2 linked regions of the Bombyx mori genome follow. The protein of the gene in region 2 purifies or fractionates together with the protein of the main gene of each other region. This does not show direct contact. Links are inferred from orthologs where the notes say so. Each region holds a gene or a part of one and is shown on either strand. Other genes may lie near its edges. The genes, in order: neutral amino acid transporter 9 and roadblock domain-containing protein 3.

What was found.
Region 1: the proteins of roadblock domain-containing protein 3 (region 2) and neutral amino acid transporter 9 purify together in Homo sapiens (co-immunoprecipitation; 5 studies listed by BioGRID and IntAct, with this or other methods). This does not show direct contact. The link is inferred for Bombyx mori from reciprocal best matches to the Homo sapiens genes LAMTOR2 and SLC38A9.

The regions. Positions count from the first base shown.
Region 1 is NC_085109.1:1,886,314-1,896,389, forward strand, and holds part of neutral amino acid transporter 9, read right to left. Parts: intron 7,298-10,076; coding exon 7,223-7,297; intron 6,681-7,222; coding exon 6,563-6,680; intron 2,644-6,562; coding exon 2,540-2,643; intron 1-2,539.
Region 2 is NC_085123.1:7,136,156-7,146,530, forward strand, and holds roadblock domain-containing protein 3, read right to left. Parts: upstream 8,891-10,375; 5' UTR 8,809-8,890; exon of another isoform or gene 8,808-8,808; intron 8,308-8,807; 5' UTR 8,220-8,307; coding exon 8,152-8,219; intron 8,075-8,151; coding exon 7,765-8,074; 3' UTR 7,056-7,764; downstream 1-7,055. Other genes in the region: ERD2 (KDEL endoplasmic reticulum protein retention receptor 2), read right to left, coding at 756-902, 1,061-1,320, 1,402-1,492; protein SDA1 homolog, read left to right, coding at 3,287-5,440. UniProt on the Homo sapiens protein: As part of the Ragulator complex it is involved in amino acid sensing and activation of mTORC1, a signaling complex promoting cell growth in response to growth factors, energy levels, and amino acids.

The sequences.
Region 1 (10,076 bases), on a different chromosome or scaffold from region 2:
TCCGGAGCCATGGTTTGCTTGAAATCGTCTGCGTCGGCCTGCGCCATGGTGCAGGAAATCGCAGTAGTGGGTCGTACCGGTCCAAGTCCCAAAAAACACTTTCACGGTACACAAAACGCACGGTATAAATAAAGTTCGAGTCCTCGGGGTCACCACTGTACGGTAGCTTTAGCAAGAGTAAAGAGTAAGCTGCCCTTTACTAAGGAAACAAGTTGATTGCAATTTTAACTCCGTATATTCACCAGTGTCTGCCGTGTCGGGTGGGCTATGTACGACTGACCAAATGCATGCGATGCACAAAACTGCATACGCTGCTAAATGTGTCCCTACACTCTTGAACTAATAAATCCAATTCGCTAACTAATTTATACACTATTCTTGATTGAGATTAGATTCTGATTAAATAAACTTTGTTTGAAGTTATTTTTCTAAGGTTTTTTGATGGTCCTACGGCTGGTCCAGTTTCACCGGGGCAGTTGGGCGAGGACAGACTCGGTTAGGATGGGTGGGATCTACTAAGAACCGCCCGAGCGCCTCCTAAAGAGACCAGTGTGCTTAGTGCGAGTTTTTTAACGTTGTCGATAGCGTAAAAGTTATTTCATATTTGTATGGAATGGGATCGTTTGCGTACGTTTACCGCTAGGGGCGCTGTTCCTGTAATTGCATACAAAATTGGGCGAACTTTTACGCTATCGAGAACGTTAAAAAACTCGCACTAAGCACACTGATGGCTCTAAAGGTAGCTACTTAGCAAATGCATCGGATCTACTACGGATCGGAATCGCGACCCGTTGAAAGATCAACTCAGCAGGCTGATGTATGGGTTAAGCCAGAGGTCGGCAAAGTGCGGGTATTTGAAGTTCAAATTTTGAACTCTTGAGTGTGGCTCTGGCACAAATATCCTACGGACTTGCCCGGCCTCTAATATTATCCGGCTTTGGACGAAAAAGCCTGTTAATAGTATGTACGTTCATTTAATATCAGCACCCCAGACTGATGTCGATTATTATATATATATTAATCGAATCAGTATACAATAAAGCACTTATTTTATGATTTGCAATAATAAATGCTTACTACATTTACAAACAGATTTGGCTCTCATTTATTTTAAGTCGTTTTAATTTGCAAATTTGGCTCTTTGGCTGATAAGTTTGCCGACCACTGGGTTAAGCTTTGGAAGAATCTACAAGTTTGTTAATTATTGTGAGACGACAGAGATACTTTGATTCGATCGGAGTAGAACAGGGTTTTATTTTGTTTTGATATTAAAAAAAGGGTGACAGTATTTAAAATAACCTTTGTGTTTATTTGTATCTCGCGATTATTTTTCTCATTTAATTACTGCAGGCTCTTCGAATATTTTACTTTTTTCGTTGTCACAGACGACTAAGGTGTTAGGCATACGTCACCTTCGAATATAATGCTGACCAAAGTACCTAATAACAAGCGCGAGCTTAAACCGTAAACGTTTTAATTATGTATACAAGTCGCTGAAACCGAAGGAAATGCCGTATAGTGCCCACACATTATTCCGGGGACAAAACGTCTATGTCCCACACGCCGTATCACAAAACCGAATCTTTGAATATTCATTAGTAAGTCATGTATTTTCGACATCAGGTTTGAGCCCCGTGAGCTCACCTACTAGTTAAGGTTACGCTGAAATAGCCTCTCAAGGCTATCAGATTAGGGAGTAGGAAAAAAAAAAGTATTTTCTATGAATATTATTTCGATCTCATAGAAAAATTCACTATACACAATCGATATCTGCGTGAAAGAAAAAAAAACTCAATACACTTTTACACCTTTGATTTTACAAAAGTGATGTTATTGAAACAAAATTAAGTTTTTTTCCCTACCTAAGCTGATAGTCATCTAGAGACCATTTCAGCGTAACCTCAACTAGTAGATAAGCTCACGGGGCTCAAACCGGAGTGTTGCTAACACTGGCCCTAGCAAGAGCAGTACTTTGCAGAATTTACCACGCGACGATCTAAACGCGATCCACTGAGAAGATTCGGCGAGAAACTCGGTCAGCTTGGTCGTCAAATCGGATCTTGCAAATATTTTGTTTGTTGAGTCTATTATTTAATCAAATTTACAAAAGGCATTTATTTATACTTTGTTTGTGCAAGGAAATTATTAATTGCAAACTTTATCCTCAAGTTATCAATAATTTATAGTTCGAGATGCCTAGATTAAAGTATTAAATAATAGTAATTTTATAACAGCTATTATACAGAGTAGTGGAGTATAACTATAAAAATATTTCAGTCAAATTATAAGTATGCATGTTTGATTTGATAAGTCTTAGCGAGATGTTAATTGATCAAAAAGAGATAATGTTTGTATATTTGGACATATTATCGTCATTTTACGAGTTAGCCTCGTCGCTTCCCTTATTAATTTAAAAGTCTGCATTTTATTTATTAATATTCACTCCTCAACTTGGAATTTCCTGTGAGAAAAAACCTAATTTCTCGTAGTGTAAATACGTAAGGCGGATCCGTGTCAACAAATTTGTTTTGTTACTTACATTGTAACTAAAGAGCTTTGCTTCTTATTTTCATTTTTGACAGTTTTTTCGAAATTTTTCTTGTAAGTAGATAATACGGCATCTGAGGAAACCTCTCCGGGACCCTGTCATAAGAAAAATAATATAAAAACCTTCGTATGGCATCATTATATTAGGTCTTGCAGCCAATACCGTCTTATAAGGTATTATTATTATATGTCAAGACTGACATATCCTTATTATTATTTTACTCTTCATTATGAAATGTGTATGATTTTCTTTTTTATTTTATTTTTTCTCCAAATTAATTGACTGATTGACATAATGATAGCTAATATTGACATAGAGTGGTTACTACTGTATTGATATAATTATGTGTTTCTAATTCATTTCCTTTGTATATTTAATTAATTGAATTAGTATATTGTTCATTTTCTATTTGTATTGTTGAACTGTTTGTGTGCTGACTATTGTATTATTATTATTTTATGGATTTTTTCTGAAATAAATGTTTTATTATTATTATTATTATTATTTACCATAAGGGCACACGGGGCCCGTGCCCAGGGCCCCCATTCTCAGGGGGCCCCGAAGGACCGACAATTTCTCTCACGCATTTATTCTCTAAACATTTTTGTTGGGCACATTACACTTTTTTCACAAATCAGTAATCTTATCAGAAGGTATTTTCAAGGCATGTACTACGCCATTATATTGATGGCTACGCCTATTTCTACTGTACTAATTAATAATATTTCCGAACGCATCCTACCTAATTTACTTAGCACACCATCTAGCGATCACGATAACGGCTTCCGTTATCGTGATCGTAACAAAAAAACCAGTAGCATTCTAATATCATTAATGACATTTTATATCATACTGTATTTGATTACCTATAAATGGTCATACTCAGTAAAAATATATTTTTTTACTTTCCAAAAGGGCCTCAAATTCTTGTGTGCCCAAGGGCCCCAGCCTAATTTAAGACGTCCCTGCTTGCAGCCCAAGGTGGACGTTAGCCTGGTCCAGTGTGTCTGTCTAGACTCCTGTGTGACTTATGTGTTTCTCGATTCAGTCCTAGTTGACACCAATTCCACTGAGATATAGGCGGAGCGGTCTAGGAGTAGGAGCTCCAAGCCTAATCTGTGGTAGGTGGTAGGACCTCTTGTGAGTCCGCGCGGGTGGGTACCACCACCCTGCCTATTTCTGCCGTGAAGCAGTAATGCGTTTCGGTTTGAAGGGTGGGACAGGCACTGTAACTATACTGAGACCTTAGAACTTATATCGCAAGATGGGTGGCGCATTTACGTTGTATATGGGGTGGGTGGCGCATTTATAATACGTTGTAGATGTCTATGGGCTCCAGTAGCTATTTGACACCAGGGGGGATGTGAGCTCATCCACACATTTAAGCAATAAAAAAATATATCTGTGTTTGGGTCCCATACTATATATTATAAGTTTTCTTTGACAACTAAGTTCTTTTGTGTTTATTTTTATATATGCTTACCGTATTATTAGCAAATAACAAAACGTTATTAGATAACCTATAAAGATTAAAGTTTTGCTATCCAAGGATCGCTTGCACGAGATTTGGAGACATAATAAACAGGCTCTGGCGTCGACGATAACACGCCGCCAATAATTCACGTAATGATAACGTTTCGAATTAAGCGATTTATTTATATTAATGATTTTTTATACTTTTAATTCGTAAAAAAATACGGTTATTTATATTCTGTGGCGAAGTCGATTTACTCTATTTGATTATTTATTAACAGTGTGTTATCAAATAGGTTTACGTTCAAAATGCCGCCACCTAATATTACGTATTGACTGTTAATTGACGATTACAGATAAATTTAGTTTGTTTGTTCGTGATCTCTGCGCTCATGCGCTTTTTGCCTTGTGCCGTGGACCTCTGCCTTTTTCTTTTTTTGTTTTATATTTGCTTTTTCTCCCTACCTATTCGCTTATAGCCTAGGGGGCTATTTCAGCTACGCCCGGACGGGTAGATGAGCTCACGGGCTCAACCTATAGAATTTGCTAACACTGGCCCTGGCAAGGGCAGTACTACGCAGAATCTACCACCAGATCAGAATCGCGAGCCTCAGAGAAGATCGGGCGATGTATTTTTTTTTCTTTTTTCCTACCAATGCTGATAGCCTTGTGATGATATTTCAGCTTCTCCTTGACGTGTAGGTGAGCTCACGGGGCAAACACCGAGAGCATTGCTAACACTGGCCCTAGCAAGAGCAGTGCTACGCAGAATCTACCACCGGATCAAAATCGCGACCCTCTGAGAAGATCCGGCGAGAAACTCAGTGGGTTGTACCTATGGGTTAATTTACTCGTGGAGCCCTTCCTCGCAAGCGACGGGTTCGGCGAGGACGGTGACCGGTGCTTGTGGTACCTAAAAGCACCGTTAATGGATCGGGAGGATCCGTAATGAGATCCGGCGAGAAACTTAGTCGGGTAATACACTACAAAAAACAGACGATAGATGTCCCGCGTGTAGTGATATACAGTAGATTTTTTATTTCAAATATTACGCTATTGCTGGGTATATTGCTCAATCACAGCCCCTAGCTAATTAGCTCTGTGATCTTCTTGGTTTTAAATTAAAAATATCGCTGTTATCAGAAAAATCAAGGGCAGAAAAAAGCGAGAATGCTTTTTGATTATGTTTTGACAAGCCGTTTAAATCATTACAATTTGCGCACTTGACCTAATTAGACGATAATGAGAATGTTTTTTGTAACAATATTATTTATTCAGCTTAATTTGTTGAACTGTGACGTTAGGTTATTGTTCAAATTCGCTCGTCATTCGATTTATATATTCCAACAATTTATTGATATATTCCAAAACTGGTAAATAAATGTACATACATGTAAACTTTTTAAATGGCTTATTTGGTGGATGAAACGCAAATAAATTATGGAGGGTAGAGGTAAGGAGCACCATCTTGTATAGGGGACAAGTTGAAAAAGTGTCATCTGTAATAAACAGCAAATTATAATTCGAAAACTCACCGAATTAGCGCTAGCGTAGCCAGGGGAAATAGTATGAATATAGAAGTTTTCAACTGAGTGAAGTGTGCTGGATTGCAGTGAAGGCTATGTTTTTTTTTTTATTGCTTGATGGGTGGACGAGCTCACAGCCCACCTGGTATTAAGTGGTTACTGGAGCCCGTAGACATCTACGACGTAAATGCACCACCCACCTTGAGATATAATTTCTAAGGTCTCAAGTATAGTTGCAACGGCTGCCCCACCCTTCAAACCGAAACGCATTACTGCTTCACGGCAGAAACAGGCAGGGCGGTGGTACCTACCCGCGCGGACTCACAAGAGGTCCTACCATCAGTAACGTTCCGATTGTGTTCCGATTTACACTCCGAGCACTGTTCAGTGCTCTCACTGCTATTCGTTGCCTACGTTAAGGACTGACAGTATATATATATATATATATAGTAGTAACTTAAGGAATGATTGATTATACATGATGATGAATGGAACGGAGGAATGATACATGATTTCATAAATCTTCACTTCAGCACTTTTACCGTGCATAACCTCATTTCAATAATACGGTTATTAAGTTATTATAGATTAAATTGCTTGAAAAACAATATGTTCTTTTACTAAAAATATACTTTCTTTTAGCGATTAATTAAACTGACAATAACTTGAATATTCTATTTTCAAATATAAGTAAATTTAAACAAGATTTTTTTTGCTGAAATGAAAACACCTCCATGACAACGTCGATGACAGTATACTGTACTATAAAGGAACGGTTTGGCAGTATACTAATTTGACGTCACACTTTACAGTGCTCGCATTGCAAATCGGAATATACCAGAAGTGTAACAGCTTGTGGCGCTGTTTTTAAAATCTTTCCACTTGCTACTATGGCGCCATCTTAATTTGCTGCCCTTCAGTGAACACTTTTTAATATACTGAGATGGTTCTCCTTACCTCTACCCTCCATAAAAAAAATTGAATGTATTTCAGCTTTTTTTTTTTAATTACTGACCAGTGTATCCGTGCTGTCTCCCAAGGATTTGTAGGCCGGTCTTGTTGCCAGTACTCCAAGCAAAGGGGTCGTTTCCAAACGACTCATTGCACTACAGTAGCTGTCACTTGGTGAATACCTGTCAATTAGGCAAACAATTCCTTTTAAATAGGTAACGTCCAATTAAGCCCTTAAAGGCCTCGCAATAGTAATGTAATAGTAATAAAAACTAGTAATGGAAGGGCTAAATAAAACTGAGATAAAAAATAAAAGTCAATCAGTTTTTATTCATATTTTTGTATGTTATAAAAATAAATATGAGGGAAGCGTCCAATGCGCTGCGCAAAACCGCACTTGAGAGAGTCATTTGAACATCATAAATGACGCAAAAAGGAGAAGATTCGATTAACTTTTTAAATAATTTTGCATGGTTATTAGAAATATTGAACAATATTGGCCCATTTTTTAACTAAAGAAGTACGTACAACGATAAAAGTTTTCGAAAAATGTAGATAAATATGCCTGATCATGTTGAGATTTTTCAAAAATTTTTATTTTGTTATTTATTACCGGCACTGGACACAAGTTATAAAGCCTTTTATCTCTATTACACCAAAATCACGCAAACTATTAGCGTATATTTTGTCATTTTGAGTTTAAAATCTAGGTACTTTAACTTACTTTTTTTTAATCTGTCGTCTTCTCTCATCACAGTACTCACAGTCAGAATAGTCAGAGCAGGCACTCCCGAATAATCTATGAAAGAATATACAAATCAAATAATTAAACTTATTAAACTAACCGAGGCGATCCGCTGTCGCCAAGTAAGGTTGACTGTAATCGCAAGACACTAAGATAAATGCTATAAAACAATGAGAGCTCGCTAGTGATCGCCAGCGGATTTACTTCTGAGAATTTGTAGTAAATTTTATTTTACTGATCATTAAAATGCCGTTTTTCTTTCTATGCACGCTAAAGGTACATGTTCCAAGCAGAAAGAACTACCGGTGAAAATGTTTTTAAAATGCATTCTCTGGAGTGGTACTAAAGTTGAATATGTATGATACGTCTTAAATAGGCTGTGGTAAATACACCTGCGGTCTGCGCCTTTTAAAATATTTAGCATACGTGAAAGTGTGGGAAAATAAAATAAAGCTGCTGGACGGGATTCTCGGGTTCATTCAAAAAGTCAATGAAAGTCTCAGTAAATTCCCAATACCATTTTACCGAGATGCTATATCATTTTATTTTATCTTGTTTTAATCAAATTTATGTCAAAGGATTACAAAAAAAAATATTTCTTTTCTTTTCGCTCCATATTTCCTTTAAAGTATTTATGTAGTAATTAAAGATATTTGTGAATTGGACACTGACAGTAGAGGCCATGCATTTAGCCAACTACCATACAGTAAAAAAGAAAATAAATAAAGAGATACATGCACCAGATGTTTTAAAATGTCTGAATAATGACGTATTTCAAAATACTGTAGGCCAGTGTTTGCCAACGTGGAGCCCACGCCCCATAAGGGGGCAATTTCATAAATAAGGGGCGCAATCGAATTAAATTAATACAGAAAATCTGTATTAAAATTATTTTGAATCTGAATTTCAGTTTTTTATTATGTTTTGAAATATTACTTACTGTGTTTTGATAACAATTTTATAGTGATTCCTTAATAAAACCTATCATTTATGTTTTTAAGTGAACGAATTAATTTTTTATGTTAAAAATTATGGGGGCATAAAATTTTTAGTAATGTTACAGTGGGGCATGGCACAAAAAAGGTTGGGAGACACTGCTCTAAGCTTTATAAGTAAAAAACACAGATTAATAATTAACCCTTACTGCTTTTATCGTTCTCGGAACTCAAAGTGGTTAAGTGTACCTTGGTCCTATAGGTAATATCAAAAGGCTAAAAATGAAACAAAGCATATAAACCGGAAGTTATTTGAAAAATATTTTGTTCTAGATGCAAAAATGACGTAAAACATACCATGAAAATTATTTTGATTGAATTCGAATTAAATTCAAGTCTTATACCTAAAGCTTCTATCAATAATAGACCTAAAGCAACAAAACTTGTAAATCGATAACCTTTGATAGCCTAACCTGACATTAATACTTCACATGTTTGAGTGGAAATAAATTTCAACGCACAAACTGAATTTTTCAAAAAATATTATTCATAGATAAATAAGCAACGGGTTCACATCTCAACGGCGTTATCTTGACACATTATCGACGTCAGCCTGTCATTTTTATGCCTCGTTTCGAATGACCTTATGAACTTGAATTTAAATGAGACAAATTAACTTTATTTTCTCTAAATTTTACTAATTACAAGTTTTAATTTATAGATTAAATTCAACATATTCTGGGAAGAGAATCAATAGATTTAAAAGCCAATTAGGAATTTTGAATGAATATTTAGTCTTATATTTGAAATGACCTCAAAATCAAACGAAATATATTAATCAGAAGATGCCTTAACCGCAAATATTACCATAGATTATACACTTAATATATTAGAGAAATATTACCTAATTGTCCTTGCATTAGAACGTCTATGACGGACTGCCACAGAACTAAAATTCATTGCGATGTTTTGATTTACTGGTGGTAGGACCTCTTGTGAGTCCGCGCGGGTAGGTACCACCACCCTGCCTATTTCTGCCGTGAAGCAGTAATGCGTTTCAGTTTGAAGGGTGGGGCAGCCGTTTTAACTATACTGAGATCTTCGAACTTATATCTCAAGGTGGGTGGCGCATTTACGTTGTAGATGTCCATGGGCTCCAGTAACCACTTTACACCAGGTGGGCTGTGAGCTCGTCCACCCATCTAAGCAATAAAAAAAATAAAAATATTTTGCTTCAATTATTACATAAAATCAGCGAAGCCTTCGAAAGTTAATATAACCTATAAGGTACTAACACTACACATTAGTAACAACACTACACATTAGTCTCTTGCAGTTGTATTTAAATTTGACTAACAATGCAAAAACTAAAACAGAATGTACATAACTCTATGTCTATCAAAAAGAGAGTGAAGGACACAGTAATAAAATTCTATTGAAAAACTACAAGGCATGGACAAGTAAAGGCTTAAATAATGTTTAATATCCTTATCGCTTCGAGCTATCTCTTCCAGGCAAACATGTGTCGAAATAAATTATTAGGTAATAGCATAGAGCATCGTTTATTAAAAATGTACTGGAAAGAACATAAATACGGATACTATAAACGGATCCTCAGGGTGGCGGCGACAATTGAGACACTTTACGTCCACACGAATTAATATATTCTCTTTAGTACACGAATGCAACAGAGATATGCTAACCGCCGGTATTTATACAATCATCTTGACCTATTTTAATATAAACTTAGTAGGTAATATTAAACATTGTTCATCTTAATTATTCTGCTGATTATTTACGTACAATTATTATTTAATAATATCGAATTATGTAACATAAATAACATTAAGGTTTATTGCGCCGGAAGCTGTCAAGCGGAAGGCGCCAATAAAATATTT
Region 2 (10,375 bases):
TAGGTCGCCCAGTGACCATCACCGGGAGGCGGCGGCACGGCGCCGAGAGGGAGGAAGAGTTCTCCCTCTCCCGTTCCGCCGCCTCTTTCTGCGAGATGGTGGACTCGCAGAAGTCGAGCATCGCCTGCCAGGACTCATCGCTGCCGAACATCGCAGCCATGACGGTCGGAAGCGACAAGTCCGGTCCTATCTTTGCAACGAGGACGCGGCGCTGCTCCGCGAAAGCGGGGCAGTACGCGAGCGTGTGCTCCGCCGTGTCCTCGTTGCAGCCACTGCAATGGTGGCACTTCGGCGTCGGCTCCCTCCGGGTGACGAGGTGCAGGTAGCGACCGAAACAGCCGTGTCCCGTGAGCACCAGCGTCGCTCGGAAGGTGAGACGTCCTCGGTCGCGATTCACCCAGTCCGAGAGGACCGGGCGGATCGCCTCGACGGTCCGTCGCCCGTAGGTGGGGTCCGCCAGGCGGCGAGACCACGCCTCGAGCACGGCACGCCGTGATTGGAGCTTCCACGCTCGAACTTCCGCCGCACCGGGACGCGGCTCCCCCCTGGAGCGGAGATCACATCGCCACGCGTAATCCGCAGCGAGCGCCTCCGCTTCCAGGTCCCAGGGAAGAGGCCTTTTGCCTACCTTAACCAGTAAAATTCAGTTAAAAATTCTAAGTGAATTTAGCTGTTTATAATTATTAACTTGAATTACTTTTACTTTAGTTTTAACAAATATGAGAGTGAAGTTTTCACTTTAGAAATAAACTCACCCAGTTCAAGAGGTACAGAGCTCTATATGAACCTAAAGCAAACAGATAATGAGAGGTAATGCTTTCGGCCTCTCTTGTTTTTGAAACCAGGAACAGTTGAGGTAGAATAGCGACAGATTCCAAATAAATGGAAAAAGTCCACAATACCTAAAACAATGCATATCCTCAAAACATGTACATATACAAATTACTAACAATTAAAAAATATTATTTTAACATTTATCAAAGCCCAGTTTTTACAATTTATTTTATTTATAGTGCTTCTGAGAAAAATGGATAATATCACTTAAAACACAGAACATTACCTCCAAAACAGTAAACTCATGGTTTATCAATAAAGCCAAGATAAAGGTGGGGATCAGTAGAAATTCAATCCTGAATGTGTCATGGTTGTGATCATAGGTGGCCTTAAACTTGACATACATCAAATAAATAGTTGCATAGGAGGTAAAGATGAACACCAACTTCATGACAGTGTTATACGGGGACACATGAGTTGTAAGTAGATCCAAATAACGTGTCGTGTATACCACTGAAAACAGAATCTGAGACTTTCCTGATATCCCTGAAACATAATTTAAGTATTTATTAGAGTTAAATAAATATTTGAATGACACGCCGGGAGAATTCTTTGCATGTAATTTACCTGCACATGATCTTGATTTCCAAATCTTTAATAACAATATTATTATAGCTAACAGGTGGGATAGATCACCAAGCAAACGGAATATATTCATGTTTCTATTATTTGTTCGTTATACAATTAATTATAAGATCGCCGCGTATGCCTCTCATTCAAGCCAAAATGACGTGGCCATTTGACATGACAAACGACGTATTTGATGTCAATAACATAATGAGGAATGTTCGCTTATAAAATTAAATGTAATCTATGTTTCATTAATTTGAATATTTTCTTATATGATTGAAGAATTACTGGTGGCCCGGAGGCCTTCCCAGTTTCTCCAGGACAGGTGGGCAAGCAAAGGCTCAGCCAAGAGGAGTGGAATCTGCTAACAGCTGCCCGGGTGACTCCGAAGGAGACCTAACAACCAGAGAGCAGTTGCTTCGAGAATGAATCTACTACCGGATCGAAATCGCGACCCACTGAGGAGATCCGGTGAGAAACTCAGCGGGCTGATGCATGGGTTAGGTTGGTTTTTTTTTCCCTACCTAAGCTGGTAGCCTTGAGAGGCTATTCCAGCGTAACCTTAACTAGTAGGTGAGCTCGCGGGGCTCAAACCTGACGAAGTTGCTAACACGAACCCTAGCAAGAGTCGTGCTTCGCAGAATCTACCACCGGATTGGAAACGCGACCCACTGAGAAGATCCGGCGAGAAACTCAGTGGGCTGAGTCTGAGGGTTAATTTACTCGTCGAGCCCTTCGTCGCAAGCGACGGGTTCGATGAGAACGGTGACCGGTGCTTGAAGTACCTAGAAGCACCATTAGTGGATCAGGAGGATCCGAGATGACGTGTTTTGGGCGAAGTCGACTGCTTTCCATTCTTTCCGCAGGATCGGGAATGTAGTTACCGGCGGCCACGATGAGAGGGTTCTCGTATCGTGCCGCTTTATCGAAGTGGGTAGGAATTTGAGGATGTCTATGACGTATGTGCGGGCCACGTGAGCGAACACCACACTTGCATAAGTCATGACGAACCGCAAGCAAGGGCGGATCCAGTTTTGGCGCCAGGAGGGGGCACATAGTCAAATTTAGATGCGTTCGTTCCCAAACGTTTACCATTATACAAAGTTATTATATTATATTAAATTAATTAAATATTGAAGGTATGTAGTTACATAAAATCTGTATGGTGACAAAATATATAAATAAAATCATTATATTCAATTAGTATTCCACCTAAGTCCTGGACCCAGCTCAGGGGGTGGTCATGACCCCCATGACCCTCCCCCTGGATCCGCCATTGACCGCAAGTTTGTAAAGTGTCAATTTATTCCGAAGGGACATTTTATTCCGCTTACAAATCATGGGATAGAGTTTACCGAGAATAAATGCGGCACGGTTGCGGACTGATTTTGTAGGCGGAATGTCATGGATGACACTTAAGTACTTGATCTTCCTGGCTCCCTGTGAGATTCCTTCTCCTTCATTACATTTCATTTCATCCCAGTTGATTAATGTCTCAAATTAATCATCTTCATTTCATTTCACTCCGTAATATAATTTTTCATAAAAAATAAGAACACAAATTATTAAAATAAGACATCACTTAAAGGTCTTAGCTACCAGGTCATAAAATCCCACATTAGAAAAACATGTGCTCAGCAAATAGGTTATATTTATAAAATAATTAACGTGCTCTGATAACGTACATAATATTCACAATTCAGAATAATTCACATATTATAATAGCATCCACTATGCTCAGACGCAAATAGTTTTGTGCATTGTTTCATTAAAAAACGTGTTTGAAAGAATACTTCTAATTCGTAGTCTTGTGTTTGAAACAACAAAAATCTAAATATTTAGTGCCAGTCTGTTCCTATTATTGTACAAAAATATTTAAAAAATGGTTAGGCATAATAATCAACTTCCGAACAACCTAACGCAGTTGCAAAATCTTATAAAACGTGATCCAGAATCTTACAAAGAAGAGTTTCATCAACAACTTGCACATTTTGAGACCACTTTAGAAATATTCAACTTGAACCCCACACAATATAGTAAAAAACTCGATGAGCAAGCTATGTTCTTAGCTCAAGTTGCACAGTGTTATTTTAATGAAATGAAAACTTTTCCACAAAAAATTGTAGATGTTTTAAAAACACATAACACAACATTACATAATGAAATGCGTTTGGCATTATGCAAGTGCTTAATTTTACTTCGAAATAAAAACTTTATTACGCCATTTGATTTGCTAGAATTGTTTTTTACACTTTTAAAATGCCAAGATAAATATTTGAGGGATTTTTTGAAAACTCATATTATAACAGACATCAAAAACATGAACATGAAAAATAAAGATATGAAACTGAATTCAACATTGCAGAACTTTATTTTTAGCATGTTACAAGATTCAAACACAAGAGCTGCTAAACTCTCTATTGACATACTTGTTGAATTATATCACAAAAATATTTGGAATGATCAAAAAACTGTCAACATTATTGCTGATATTGGATGCTTTTCCAAATTCACCAAAGTTCTTGTAGCATCATTAAAATTTTTCCTGGGTAGAGATGAGGAAGAAAAAGAACAAAATTCAGATAGTGATGACGAAATTGATCCAAGAGATACAATGATTTCTAATAAATTTAATAAGAAAACAAGGAAAAGGGAAAAAATGGTGGAGAAAGTAAAAAAGATTGCAAAAAAGATGAAGAAAAAGAAGCAAAAAGCTCCTGCATTCAATTTTTCAGCATTACATCTGATCAACAACCCGCAAGGTCTTGCAGAGAAATTATTCAAACAGATGGAGGCTTCAAATGATAGATTTGAGGTAAAGTTAATGACCTTAGATGTTGTGTCAAGATTGATCGGTCTACACAATCTTTTCCTTTTCAATTTCTACCCATTTATAGCTAGATTACTTTTGCCTCATCAAAGAGAAGTTACTCGAATTTTGCAATTTGCTGCACAAGCTTCCCATGAGTTGGTACCATATGAAGTTATTGAGCCAGTAATGCGTGCCATTGCAAATAACTTTATAACTGAACGAAATTCAACTGATGTAATGGCAGTGGGATTAAATGCTGTGCGTGAAATATGCACAAGGTGTCCCCTTGCTATTGGAGAAGATTTACTAAGAGATTTAGTTCAATATAAAAGTTACAAAGAAAAATCTGTGATGATGGCTGCTAGATCCTTAATTCAATTATACAGACAATCAATGCCAGAACTTCTACATAAAAAAGACAGAGGTAGACCTACAGAAGCCTCAATCGAACTGAAAACAAAGAAATATGGTGAACTAGAAACAAAGGATTATATTCCTGGTTCTGAAGTCCTGTTGGAAAAAGAGAAAGAGAAAAATAATGATAAAAAGAAAAGTGAAAAAAATAAAAAGCAAAAGAATGATTCTGACAGTGAAGAATGGGTTGACGTTGCGTCATCTGCTTCAGAAATTGAAATCTCAGACAGTGAAGAAAGTGACATAGACGAAAATGGTGAAGCTGAACAATGTGATGTAGACGATACTGATAACATGTTTGACAGACCTGAAGATACTGTACAAAAAAATGAAGAAAGAAAAATATTAAAAGCAAAACGTAAACTGGACAATGAAGAAAAAGTAAAATGTGCACGTGAAATTGCTATGGAGACAATATTTACGGATGAAGATTTTAAAAGAATTGAAGCTGCACAAATTAAAAAGAATATTAGTGGCGTCAAAAGAAAATCAAATACTAACATTGAAGAAGAGGAGGCAGAATCTGGAGAATTGGTTCAACTTGGTGCTATTGAAAATATTTATAAAAAGAAAAAACATGATAAGAATGCAAGGTTGGAGAGTGTAATGAAAGGACGAGAAGATAGGCAAAAATATGGATACAAAGATCGCAGGAAAAATGCAAACTGCTCTAAAACAAATAGGGAAAAAAGGAAAACTAAAAACTATCAAATGGTAAAACACAAAGCAAAAGGCAAAATCAAGAGATCATTCAAAGAAAAGCAAATTGCATTTAGAAACTACCTAATTAAACAGAAGAAAATGAAATAAGTCCTTATTTAATTTTATGTTTTCAAATATATATTATTTCTATCTTCACTTGTAGTTTTACTTTCATTTCTGGAAAATAAAAATGATAAATAACATTGTGTGAAACACGTTTCCCGATGATGGTCCTAGGGTGAAGAGTGAATCGAGGCTGCGCCGCCCGCTACCGTAACAACTCTAGCGCTCTGGCACCATGAGGATAGGATGACACTTCAGCGGCTACACTCCGCGTTGCCGTCGTCGCTGTCATCACCGGACGCACTGTAGATGGGCAACCCGGTCGGCGGTGTATCGCGTTCCCACCCAGCAGGCTGGCGCAGGCCCACCCGGGCGGCCTGATGAGCCATCGTACCATGGACACAGACACCTCGAATCAAGTTCGGCCCCTGCCCCAAAACAATGCCTTACGTTGCCCAACGTCGTGGTTAAAATATTAATGGTCACTGTTTGGTGGTCTAATCAATAATTCATCACAGCAAACCAAATGGCACTAGCTTTGACCCGAATGTGTACCCGATTAACTAGACAAGATGGAAAAGCCTGCGAATGCCAGCCTTGGTTACTGGCTCCTCTCTGCTGTAGTATAGGTGGAAGACAAGGTGTCAAGGTGTGTGGCGCATTTACGTTGTAGATGTCTATGGGTTCCAGTAACTACTTAACACCAGGTGCGCTGTGAGCTCGTCCACACATCTAGGCAATAAAAAAAAAAAACAACACTTTGTACGACACATTATACAGTTTCTAAGCTCCAAGAGCTAAGGATGAAAGTTTTGCATAATGCAACATGTTCACCAGACCTTGTGCTGACAGACTTTTACTTTTTCCAAAGTTTGGACAACTTAAAATTTAATACCCGAGAAGCCGTTTAAAATGCCTTTAAAGAGTTTGATAGCACCCATACCCAAGTTCTTCAGTAAATGCATTGAAAAATTGGTAGAGATGCATCAATATCATGCATATTTTTATTTATAGAAATAAAAAAAATATTTATAAAAATATTGCTTTCATTTTCTGTATGCTTAATGGCAATTTCACAGGTAAATTACCTATTATTTATTTGGTATTTATGACTTTATAAGTATTATTATATTTTATAAGTATATATTAAGAATATTTTAATATTTAACGGCCGTCTGGTGTAGTGGTAAGTGACATGGTCACTACACAAGGGGGTCGCGGGTTCGAATCCCGCCAAGGGAAGATATTTGTATGATAAATATAAATGTCTTTTCCAGGGTTATGGATGTGTATTAAGTATATGTATGTGTATAATAAAAATCTTACATTTATTTCCGTTATCTGGTACCTGTAACACAAGTTCTTTACGAACTTATCACGGGACCAGTTAACGTGGCGTGATAGTTAGTAAATATTTATTTATTTATTTATTTATAAGCTAATGATCAGACGAGACTGCTTGTAACAAGGGAATATTTGTACTGGAATTCCTGGTAAGAAACAATTAACAAATTTCGATTTTTTATATATAAACCATCTATCTATCCTAGGTTACAATGATACAATGTGCATATGAGGAGCAACTGTATGATTTACATAAAGGATACTCCTGGCTATGCTCAGCTCTATGCTGTCACTATTAAACATTCAATACAAACTTAAAGAAGAATAGATTTATACTGGGTCATCATTAATTGTGATACTACAAAATATTCTGATTAAAGTTTATAAAATATTAATGACTAAATGTACATCAACTTATAGGGGTTTTAGCATTAACCATTTAGTTGAACTTTACTTTTTCTATTTTGTTCCACTATCAAATTGACAAAGAAGCCATGCAAACTGACATATGGACATGTTAATTAGATTTACAGTAGTAACAATGTCTGACATTAAAATGAAAAGACATTTTTACAGTACATTAATTTTTCCAATATTAATATATTGTATATATTATCTACCCATGCAGGTTCCACCATACTGACAGTTATTATGAAAATCTATTAATTTTGAATGTTTTATTTTATTTCTAAGCTTTTTTTTAATGTGAAAGTTTATTGTGAACCTAGATATTTAATAATATGTTTATACCTGTCCCAGAAAATACAGCATAGTTGCATAGCACACGTATATGAGGCATCTTAACTATTATTATTCAAATGAATCCATTAAGCTACTATCTCAGTAAATCCTTTTATTATCAAACATGGCATACAAATCAGGAATCAAATTTGCAATTATCATGTTTTATATAATAGCTATAAAATTTAAAGATTCAAATAACTGAATAAAGTATTTTAGTAACCAAGTAAAGTATTTTAGTGACTTCTCATATTATTTTGCTCATAATTATTTAAAATTACATATTATGAACTTGCAACTTGCTTCAAAGGACCTTCTAGATACTGAGCAATAGCATTGATTTTTTCTTTCAGAATGCCAAAACCAACAGCCTCATTCGCATAAAGACACAGTAATAAATTGGCAACTTGTGTGATTGCAATTTTCCCATTTAAACAATCTACTAGTATTAAATGTAGTCCATCTTCTTTAAAAACATTTCTGCCGTGTTTTTCATAAGCTGACCAGACATTACTAGCGATTGCAGCAGTGACTCTAGCATCCTTATCATTGTAACCAGAATAAGCTAGAAGTGCACCTTGATGATTCAACAACCTAAAATCAAGAAGCACCTGTAATTTTGATGTTTAGTGTCTAATAAAATATGTAACCAAACTAAATGTTTTCATTACAAAGTGTTTTCTACTCCTCCTGTATTAGCTTGACTTAAAACTTCTGTTAATGCTTTCGGTTTTAGCATTTTGAAGGCTTGGTGCTGTTGGATTTACATGAAAATGGCTAAGTACGAAGTTAAACTTGAATCGTTTTCAAGTGTTGATTTGTTATTATTTTTTTTTTTTTTTTTTTTTTTTTTTTATTGCCTTTGTAGGCAGACGGGCATACGGCCCACCTGATGGTGAGTGGTTACCGTCGCCCATGGACTTCAGCAATGCCAGGGGCAGAGCCAAGCCGCTGCCTACCGCTTAATACTCTCCACAAGCCTCGTTTGAAGAAGGACATGTCATAGCGCTCGGGAAACACCGAGGAGGGGAGCTCATTCCATAGCCGGATGGTACGTGGCAAAAAAGATCTCTGGAAACGCACTGTGGATGACCGCAGTGGCTCCAGGTAGTATGGATGAACTCTACTCCGGTGGCGGGCGGTGCGATGGTAAAAACGAGATGTTGGTATCATCTCGAACAATTCCTCAGAGCACTCCCCATGGAACATACGGTATAAAATACAGAGGGAACCGAAGTCCCTCCGCAGACCCAGAGGCTCCAAACGATCCGAGAGAATGGGATTATCGACAATCCGAACGGCCCTCCTCTGTATGGAGTCAAATGGAACTTAATTTTCGACGTCAACGATCTTAAATTTTTAGGATAATTTCTATTTTCCACTTTTACGTAGGATTTGACAACTATCAAAATACCGTCGCCGTCAAATATATTAAGAGTATAATCTATGGTCGCCGTCCGTGTCTCAATGTGTGTATTATCTATGCATCCGTGACAATCCGTGTAATCCACTGAACTTGAACTTTTTGGCGGGAACGCGAGGAGTGAAGTTGTGTGATTTGTTTTATTTTGTCTATTTAGTGTTTCTTCGGGTTTAAATATTTATTATAATTAATTAAGCAAATTACCACCCTTAAGTTGGCCCCTCTTATTGGATATCTTTATTTTTATCGCTCAGATTAGTTAGTTTTTATCAATTATCGTTTGTTCAACGACTATTGGTAATTGTTCGATCATAAAAACAATTAAATTCCCAATTATTAATTATTTTATATCTAATAAGCAAACCATCACCTCACGCCTACATTGCGCATGCGCCGGTTTTGTCAGTCAGCTGGCAATGGCCCTATTTACTAGCGTTTTGTTAACAAGTGCGTTTTAAATTAGATATACTCTATAGAGTATATCTAATTTATTGCCCTTGTAGGCAGACGAGCATACGGCCCACCTGATGGTGAGTGGTTACCGTCGCCCATGGACTTCAGCAATGCCAGGGGCAGAGCCAAGCCGCTGCCTACCGTTTAATACTCTCCACAAGCCTCGTTTGAAGAAGGACATAATATTAAGGGATCATATCTCTTATAAGGTTTGGCACTCTTTAATACGTACACGCGAGGCATATCTAAAAATAGAAAACAATACGTAACTGATAATATAAATATTTACCAAATAATAAAACAACACATTGATAAGTTTGAATAAAAGTTCTAGACAAAAACATCATGAATAAACCAGATTTTTACCAACAAATTTAAAAAATATTGTTTTAACTACATAGACAACCCTACAAACCTGTACCTATTTGTACTTAGGTCGTTTCCGTTTCTCTTATTCTCATCCCAATTGACCCCTATTTCGTTGTTATTTGTACCTAAGACGTCCCCAATATCCCCAAAAACAACAGATTTTTACATGTATTTTTATTTTATCAAATACATTAAATCCAATAATAACTGAGACTTACCTTTAATATATATGATGGTTCAAACACTAAATAACGTTTATAAATCACAGTCGTCTTCTATTATAATCAAATAAATAAAAGAGAGCAAAGTTTCTAGCACTGAAATAATTACCACCACAGAAAGTTAATTTGAAACGCGATTTTTTATAAGTTAGCAGCTATTATCATGCATATTCAGAGTTGTTTTGTGAACTTTCAACATTCTACTATTAAACTACAAAAAATGGAAGATTTTGCAATGAATATAAAACTAATATTGAGCGTCGAAAGAGTTTCCTGTTTTTTTCCCAATTCGCCTCTCAATCCCTAATCGCCCCATTTTACGGTACTTAATTTCAATAGTAGTTTGATGTCACTTCCGTTGCATACCTACGTGACGTTCTGTAAAAATTTTACCTCCATGCGCCTAAAGAAGTTTCACTTCAAAAATTA